Linked DNA regions of Xenopus tropicalis. The main gene of each other region encodes a partner of the protein of the gene in region 2 in a complex. Links are inferred from orthologs where the notes say so. Each region holds a gene or a part of one and is shown on either strand. Other genes may lie near its edges.

Region 1 (3,755 bases), on a different chromosome or scaffold from region 2:
AACTGCAAATTCACACAAACCATTGGCAGTCACACAAAAATAATTGCGAGACATGCTGCGGTTCAGTGATTCCAGTACAACTGCCTGAGGGCCAGTTCTAATGGTGACCACAAAAGGCAGAGAATTAGTTCACTGGTTGGCCATACAAAAGTAAAATTTAGAGATGTATCAAGTTGTCCAGGCAAATATTCTTCAACTCATGTGGCTTGCTGAATAGAACTGCTCATTTGTTTGGCAGAGCCGCAGTCCCACTCTTTTCCAAATCTACTGCATTCATGGATAGCCCAATGGCTCTGATTCACTAAATGAGCTGTGTCCCATCTCACTTCCAAAACTGCCACTGCCTCATGTTCATTAACAAGAACCATCACATTTTTAGTCTGGACAGACCAACTGCAATTTAATGGAATTGTAGGACAATATGTTCTAAAAGCTGCCTATACAAGCACAGTTGGCAATACCAATGCATGCATGGCAGCCATTACTGTAAATAAACCATCTGCATTTACAATCCTAGGTGATACCCTTATACCAACACCAAACAGGGTTCCATTAATTCACGGACAGCAAACAGCAATGGGGCCAATCTAATATACAATTTAGCAGTAAATATTAACATGGCAAGAAGAATAAACTTATGTAGTTCCATTTGGTTTGTTCCATTCAGATGCAAAAGGCTAAGTTTGCATTCTACTAGACTAAATCCACTTTTCTCTCTTGTAACAAAGGACAGGAGATTGTTCTTTCCATTACAACAGTAAGGTGTTTGCTCAGTCCACTACCACTTATATATATTATATTTTCCATGCTATGCAAATACATACAAGAGCTTGCCACCAATGCACACCATACATAGGCTCAACACAGCAGAATGATGGTATCATCTGATACAGGCGCTAAAGGGGATGTAAACCCAAATATAATTTTGCTTAATTAAGGTACTTGTTATGCAAAGCAACCCTCCAATATATATGTATTGTATAATTGCTACAGAGTGCAGTCCCTTTCTATTCTCTCTATCTCTATTGGTATTACTTTTACAAATAACTTTGAAATCATTGACGTTTAGAATGAAGGTATATTGGAAAGCTGTCTATGAAGATTTTCATTCATCCAGGTCATGGTATATCTAGTATAAATAAATTTGAAGCAACTGGACTTGTTTAGTAATCATTGAAGACGTTTCACTACTCATCCGAGCAGCTTCTTCAGTTCAACTGAACTGAAGAAGCTGCTCGGATGAGTAGTGAAACGTCTTCAATGATTACTAAACAAGTCCAGTTGCTTCAAATTTATTTATACTAGATATATTGGAAAGCTGTTTAGAATGACATTTTCTTTCATTAAGCAAACTGATAGCTTTGGGTTTACATCCTGCAGCAGTCAGTGGGTGCCAGAGGTGCTGGAAGTTGCAGTTAACCACTGTAGGATGTATCTCTTTAACATGCCTGTAGACAATGAAGGTAGCAGTGAATTGTTCAGATAAAGCACACATTAGTAAGCTTGGAATCCCCATAACTGATAAGCACTGATTTAGCTGCCTGATAAGGAAGATAATGATTGACAGTTTTAGGTGAGCATCTCTAGGACAGTGGTCCTCCCCTCTGTATGTCCCAAAGGGTACCAGATGGGCCAGCTTCCAGGGCATCCTCACCACTGGAAATCCTGCCGGAGCGCTACACTGATCATCTAAAGTGATGCCCCAGCACCCCCTGGCATGCACTGACAGCATTCATGTAACAGCTGAAGAGTGACAGGTTGCTGCACATCCCTAAACACATCCCATTGCAACTTGAGGCACATCTCTCCCTGCAGAGGCCCCTGGTGCTGTTGTGAAACTACAACTCCCAGAAGTGGAGTAGGAGGGGCTGAAAGTTGTACTTCTGTAAATATTTCTGAATGACTTCCCACTAAATGAAAGAGTGGAAGGTACCTGTCGCCGGTCGTTGGGCTGCTGCATGTCAACCAGTCGCAAAGCAGTCCTCCACTGCTGCAAAGTCCCTACCGGAGCTTCACTTGTCCCCGAACCCCTAGACAGCTCCCGTCTTAACTCCGAGCGCAATTCCAGATAGCAGCAAATGGTCACCAGGTGTAAGGACAATGACAGGACGAAAAAGCCCAGAAAGAGCCGGCAGCTCCCACAACGTTTCGGACAGGCACATGCAGGCTGCTGCTGCAGGGAGGAGTCAGAGGAGTCCATGCCACGCTTGTCCGAGGAACTCCGCGGTGCCATGCTCGGGAAAGGAGCGGCCCCAAGGGCGCACTGGGACTGTGGGGGGGAACTGCAGCCACTAGAGCGCCATGAGTGGCGGCCGAGGCGAGCCCTACAGATGCTGGCGGAGAGGAGACGCGGGAGGGACGGGACAGCAGGCGAGCTGCCCAGTTCTGCCACAAACACGCCTCCAACATTCAAAGCCACCGCCCCCCTAAGCCCAGCATTTTACACTGGCCCCGCCTACTCGCCCCGCCCACAACAAAGCAAAGCTGGGAACTCTTTTCCAGATAAAAGTGCGCCTTATCCCAAAATGCACTGCGTCTCATCTCAGCGACTCCTCCCCAAGATCACATGCGCAGGGTGCCATCTGTCGGAAACGCAGGGAACTTCAGCGCCCTGTTGTGAAAATATGTTTGACAGCTGAGTGATGTTATGATATATGACAGTACACGCCGCAGGTTATATTCTGTAAAGCTATACAATTTACAATACTATGTGGTGCCACAACGTATTTGTCATTGTGCATTAATATTCTTTTTAAAAGGTGCATGGTTGTTGCCTGTACATACTACTAAACTACTCTGTCCTTGCAGCTGGCAGACATATCCCCAAATGCCTGGGTGCAATAACCCATAGCAACCAATAAGACTTTTGCTTCTAAACAGGGTGCCTGCAAGTGACTGGACCTGTAGGTAGCATTGCCACCTGTTTTACTGGAAGGGCTGGTAAAATTAAAAAAATACATTTACACACAGAGCTTCTGGAAGCCCAATGTGCCCCCAAGTCGCCTTAATGCATCCCTTCTACAACATCAGTATAAATGCCCCCAGCGGCCCAGACCCGACACTTGCAGCGCTCCCTCTGCCCGACCGTTCCTCCCCTGACTCGTTAAATTTACGAGCTCGGGGCATACCTCCCAACATTTCATTAAGAGAAAGAGGGACAAAAATATGTGACGCGGGTAGTTGGTGAAATTTTTTTGGCCACGCCTGCTTTGTGACCACGCCCCCACATACCACACCCTCTTTACATGCCCCAGATGTGCCATTATAATCACTAAATAAAAAGAATAAAGGACATATTAACTTCAAAAGTGTCAGTATGACTACATTAAATTGATAAAGGGCATATTAACCCCAGACATCCCAGTAAAATTACTAAATGAAACTGATAAAGGGCATATCAACTTCAGACATGCCAACAGTTATGTGCATTTGCCAAAGTTATAAACAGGGCCAATTCCAGTGGTACATAAATCTATGTTATTTCCTTCTATTTTTTATCAGTTGAAAGCAAAACAATATTAATGTACCACTAGAAGTTCTAGCCGTATTAACAAGGCCTAAGGTTCCCAGACTTATAAGGGCCCCTTTTAAATGTCTGCTATATTTTACCTCTTCCCCTGCATGCTGTGCTCTGCCATACCTCCCAACATTTGAAAAATGAAAAGAGGACAATATTTTGACCACGCCCACTTTGTGGCCACGCCCCAATTGCCACACTCCATTTTTAAATTAGTTAAAATAGTGCCCACGATGGC
Region 2 (3,655 bases):
GCAGATCAAAAGTCAAAAGTGCTGTGTATTTAGAGCTACAGAAGCCCATATATATAGCAACCTAAATGCCTTGGCTGTCAGGTGTCTTTGCATGAGCAGTAAGGCCTGTATTTTTAGTGCCATAATCAGGATACTGGGGTCTAGTGTTCATAGAAGGGAAACTCTTAAAAGGTAAGGGAGTTATTTATGCAATGCATTAAGTGTCAGATAAGTACTGGCATCTTACCCCAGTTAATTTGCTGTTTGTGGTGGATTTGTCCCTTGCCAGGTGCACTAATGATAAGAGGCAGAGCTCCGCGCTCCCTTGTTTGTCAATGGCTGCCTCTTCATCGCTGTCCATGCTACGGCTTAAAAGACGCTCATTCTCTGACGAGGCATCATTTTCACTAAAACATTATATATACATATGTTAGTATAGTTTTGCCATAGTTCCAATTCGATTTGCTCTGTATACCCTTAATACATTAGCAATGACATTGGTGCTCTCTCAACTTGGCTTGGAGGCTGAACACAGTGCTATGTCTCAAGCCCCATCCCACTGTACAGGTGGGAAATTCTGACACCCTGCCAGTAGACAATATTGTAGCAGGGGCTAGAAGATATATTACAAACACAAAAAGTACAGACACTCTCTAGTAAATCAGAACTTATACAAATATATAAGTTTATAAACATTTTGTATTTTGGAAAGTAGCCATAATTAAAAGCCTGTATTATAACTCTACCCACTGCACTGTAAGTTAGTCCTTATTTACACATAAGGTTGACCTTACTTTTTTTGGCAGCTAGCTGCTTTCGTTCAAAGACTATTGTGCTTATCAAGAGGCACCATTATATTGCACCTATTAAAAAGGAGTTGCAACCAGACTGCACATCAGACTGATCCCCACTCAGTCCCCAACACCACAAGGCCCGCAGCAGTTGCTCAATCTACTGCCCTTGTTGCTAGGCAACTGGTCTCACATTATAATGAAAGGAAAGTGGAATTACTATGGAATATGTTCATAGTTGCTTACTTTTTTTCTGTTTTAGTCTGGGTCTCGGACAATTTTTCAAATTCATCTTTTTCAGAAAAGATATTTTCAGCTGTAAAACATGTAATGACATTACTAATTAATATGTAAAAAAAACTTACTTTGATCCTGTGGATGATAGTATACAGTATAAAGGCTAAACACAATGTTCAACATATATGGAATATAAACAGAGGTACAAGAATATATTTTAATGTATTTTTTTCAATTAACTTGTAATGTACTGTATTTTTTTAATGTATCTGCCCAGAGAGAGAACCTTATTTGGCAAGTGTAAGTTTAGGACATGTACAGAGCACCATTTCTTAAAGGTGCTCTGGACACAACAGGTGTGGATGAAAGGTTTCAGGACCTCCTTAAGTGCCCATTTCAAATGCCGCACTATCAAAACTCAAAAGATAACCTAACCAGGTATGTAGAGCTGCTATGAAGGCCTAGACCATTATTGTTATATATGTTGGACCTCTGGGGTAGTAAAGTAAGTTCAGTATGTACTGAGGTGTATGATTAATTTACAGTTTGTTGTATACCCAGGTGTAAAACAACAATAAGAAATGTGATGTTGAGTTGATGTTGAACCACATTTTATATCCAAAAACTATAAGAAAGAATAATGTAGCCTACAATCAACAGATCAATTATACTTCAGCTACAGTTTGTTGGATTTGTATAGTTATGACACAACATATAATAGCAACATCCAAGCACCCAGTCATTATTATATACAGTATATAAAGGTGACCATGAGTGACTATAATGAAAGTGAATGCTACTGCTTATGTCCTGCTATCAAGTAATAAGTACTCCTGAGTGGGTCAGGCCTTACCTGGCACCTCCTTTTTCTCTTCCTGTTGGTTGATCTGAGCTTCCACATTCTTTGAAGGGCCGGTGCAACATGCTGTATAAGAAAGGCAAACGTTTGGTCTTGATAAGTATGACAGAATATCTTATATAATATTCCCATCGAATGAAAATGAGGTATTCTGTTTGCAATTGGTATCTTATTTCTGTAGGGGCAATTTATTTGCAATTCACTAAAAAGTGGTTTACTTTTAATAGAATACAGCATGGTAAAGAGGGACAGAATACCCTTCCCTAATATTCTGATGATTACTCAGGTATTGTAAAGCATTCTGCAGAATAAATATAGTGTTCTAGCTTGCAATATTATGACCAATCTTGGCAATAAAAGGCCTCAGTAGCTTTCCTTCTCCTTTTCAAGGGGTATACTTCCCTTTAATGCTACTTGTCCAGACCACACAGTCTCCTATGTTGGACTATGGTTGACTGAGTATTCCCCTGTGTCCTCTGTTTCCCCCAACACCATACATGTTAGTATTACCTTGAGAAGAAGGCTTGGTCTTTAAAATGTAGAACATGATGATGAGAACAATGGCTATGGCCATGATGAATATTGTTGACATTGCAATAATCAGAGCCGTGGCCAAATGTCCTTGTCCAGACACTTCTACTAAAGGGACAAAAGTCATGTTAGTTAGGCAGTCCTCCTTATAAACAAACAAGCTAATCCTGTTATGAAGCCATACTACAATGTACATTTCTTCCATTACTTATGCCTTGTGAAAGGCAATGATAAATAACATACAGAAAAGGTTGTATTATACTATATGCTGAACTGTGTATTGGATATACCCACTTCCCTAATACTTCAGAGCAGTTCCATCTTTAAAATACATTTCAAAACTCTTTGCCATAGCATTAAATGCCAACATAGTAACTTTCTACTTTAAGGGGACATATACCCACCAACAAAACTTAAATTTGTTCAGAGGGCTTTTCTTAATGTTTCACAATTTACATTAATATTTTTTTCATTTTTGTTTTCATGATATTTGCATTTCTACTAGGTAATGTAATAAATGGCCCAAATCTTACATTTCCCTAGGCTTTGTAAGTTAGCTTAACCAAGGGAAGGGTTTTGTTGACCATTAATATCCAGGCTGGCACTGTAAGTCGCTATGCCACCATCCACTTCATCAGTAGTTTTTTGGCATTGAGTAAAGAGAGTTACCATCATCTTTAACATGTGCTCTTACCTTTGTGTGGATGTTGGAAAGGGGAGATGGTGCTTGAGCCGGTTGTACTTGTGGAACTGCCAGAAATAGGGGCTGATAATCCAATACCTGTAGTGGAGACATAAATCACTTTATGGTCAGCACTAAAAAATAGAAAACTTCAAGCAAATATATGACAGTTACAAATGAAACCAAGTAAAGGCAATCCAATTCAAATCAACACCATCTTTAAAAAGGCATAATCAAACTGCTTTTGGTAAAGGTCAACTGACACTATAAATATAAATGCTATATTGCTACAGTACATTTTCACATCACACACAACTACATTTTGGCATGTTTTAATTAGCATTTATTTTTTAATAACACATTTTTTTGATATTAAATAACTAAAAATATGTCTGTCGCCCAGTGTGGGAAAAACCAAAGGCTTCATAACATACTGCGAATAAACACACTGATCATATGATTATTTATATTAATCACTTGAGTATTAATGAGAGCTGGGATTTCTTATGATCACTTTGACTTGTGTTGAACGTTAACAGTTAGAGATTAAACTAACACCACTAGGGATAGCACTGC

Evidence for each region. Proteins that work in one complex are often made in the same cells at the same time.
Region 1: the proteins of edar (region 2) and eda are in contact, whole or in part, in a crystal structure (PDB 7X9G), measured with the Homo sapiens proteins. The link is inferred for Xenopus tropicalis from reciprocal best matches to the Homo sapiens genes EDAR and EDA. Residues at the interface, in NP_071731.1 of Homo sapiens: Glu55, Pro56, Tyr57, Leu58, Lys78, Ile86, Arg88, Arg89, His90, Asp92, Glu94, Gly95, Phe97, Val134; in NP_001390.1 of Homo sapiens: Gln256, Ser258, Ala259, Gln261, Asp265, Asp273, Arg289, Tyr310, Tyr311, Lys340, Thr341, Tyr343, Ser370.

Annotation. Positions count from the first base shown.
Region 1 is NC_030684.2:43,623,312-43,627,066, reverse strand, and holds the start of eda (ectodysplasin-A), read right to left. Parts: upstream 2,464-3,755; 5' UTR 2,234-2,463; coding exon 1,934-2,233; intron 1-1,933. UniProt on the Homo sapiens protein: Cytokine which is involved in epithelial-mesenchymal signaling during morphogenesis of ectodermal organs. Functions as a ligand activating the DEATH-domain containing receptors EDAR and EDA2R. May also play a role in cell adhesion.
Region 2 is NC_030678.2:109,233,122-109,236,776, reverse strand, and holds part of edar (tumor necrosis factor receptor superfamily member EDAR precursor), read right to left. Parts: intron 3,179-3,655; coding exon 3,092-3,178; intron 2,506-3,091; coding exon 2,377-2,505; intron 1,933-2,376; coding exon 1,861-1,932; intron 1,087-1,860; coding exon 1,017-1,086; intron 387-1,016; coding exon 227-386; intron 1-226. UniProt on the Homo sapiens protein: Receptor for EDA isoform A1, but not for EDA isoform A2. Mediates the activation of NF-kappa-B and JNK. May promote caspase-independent cell death.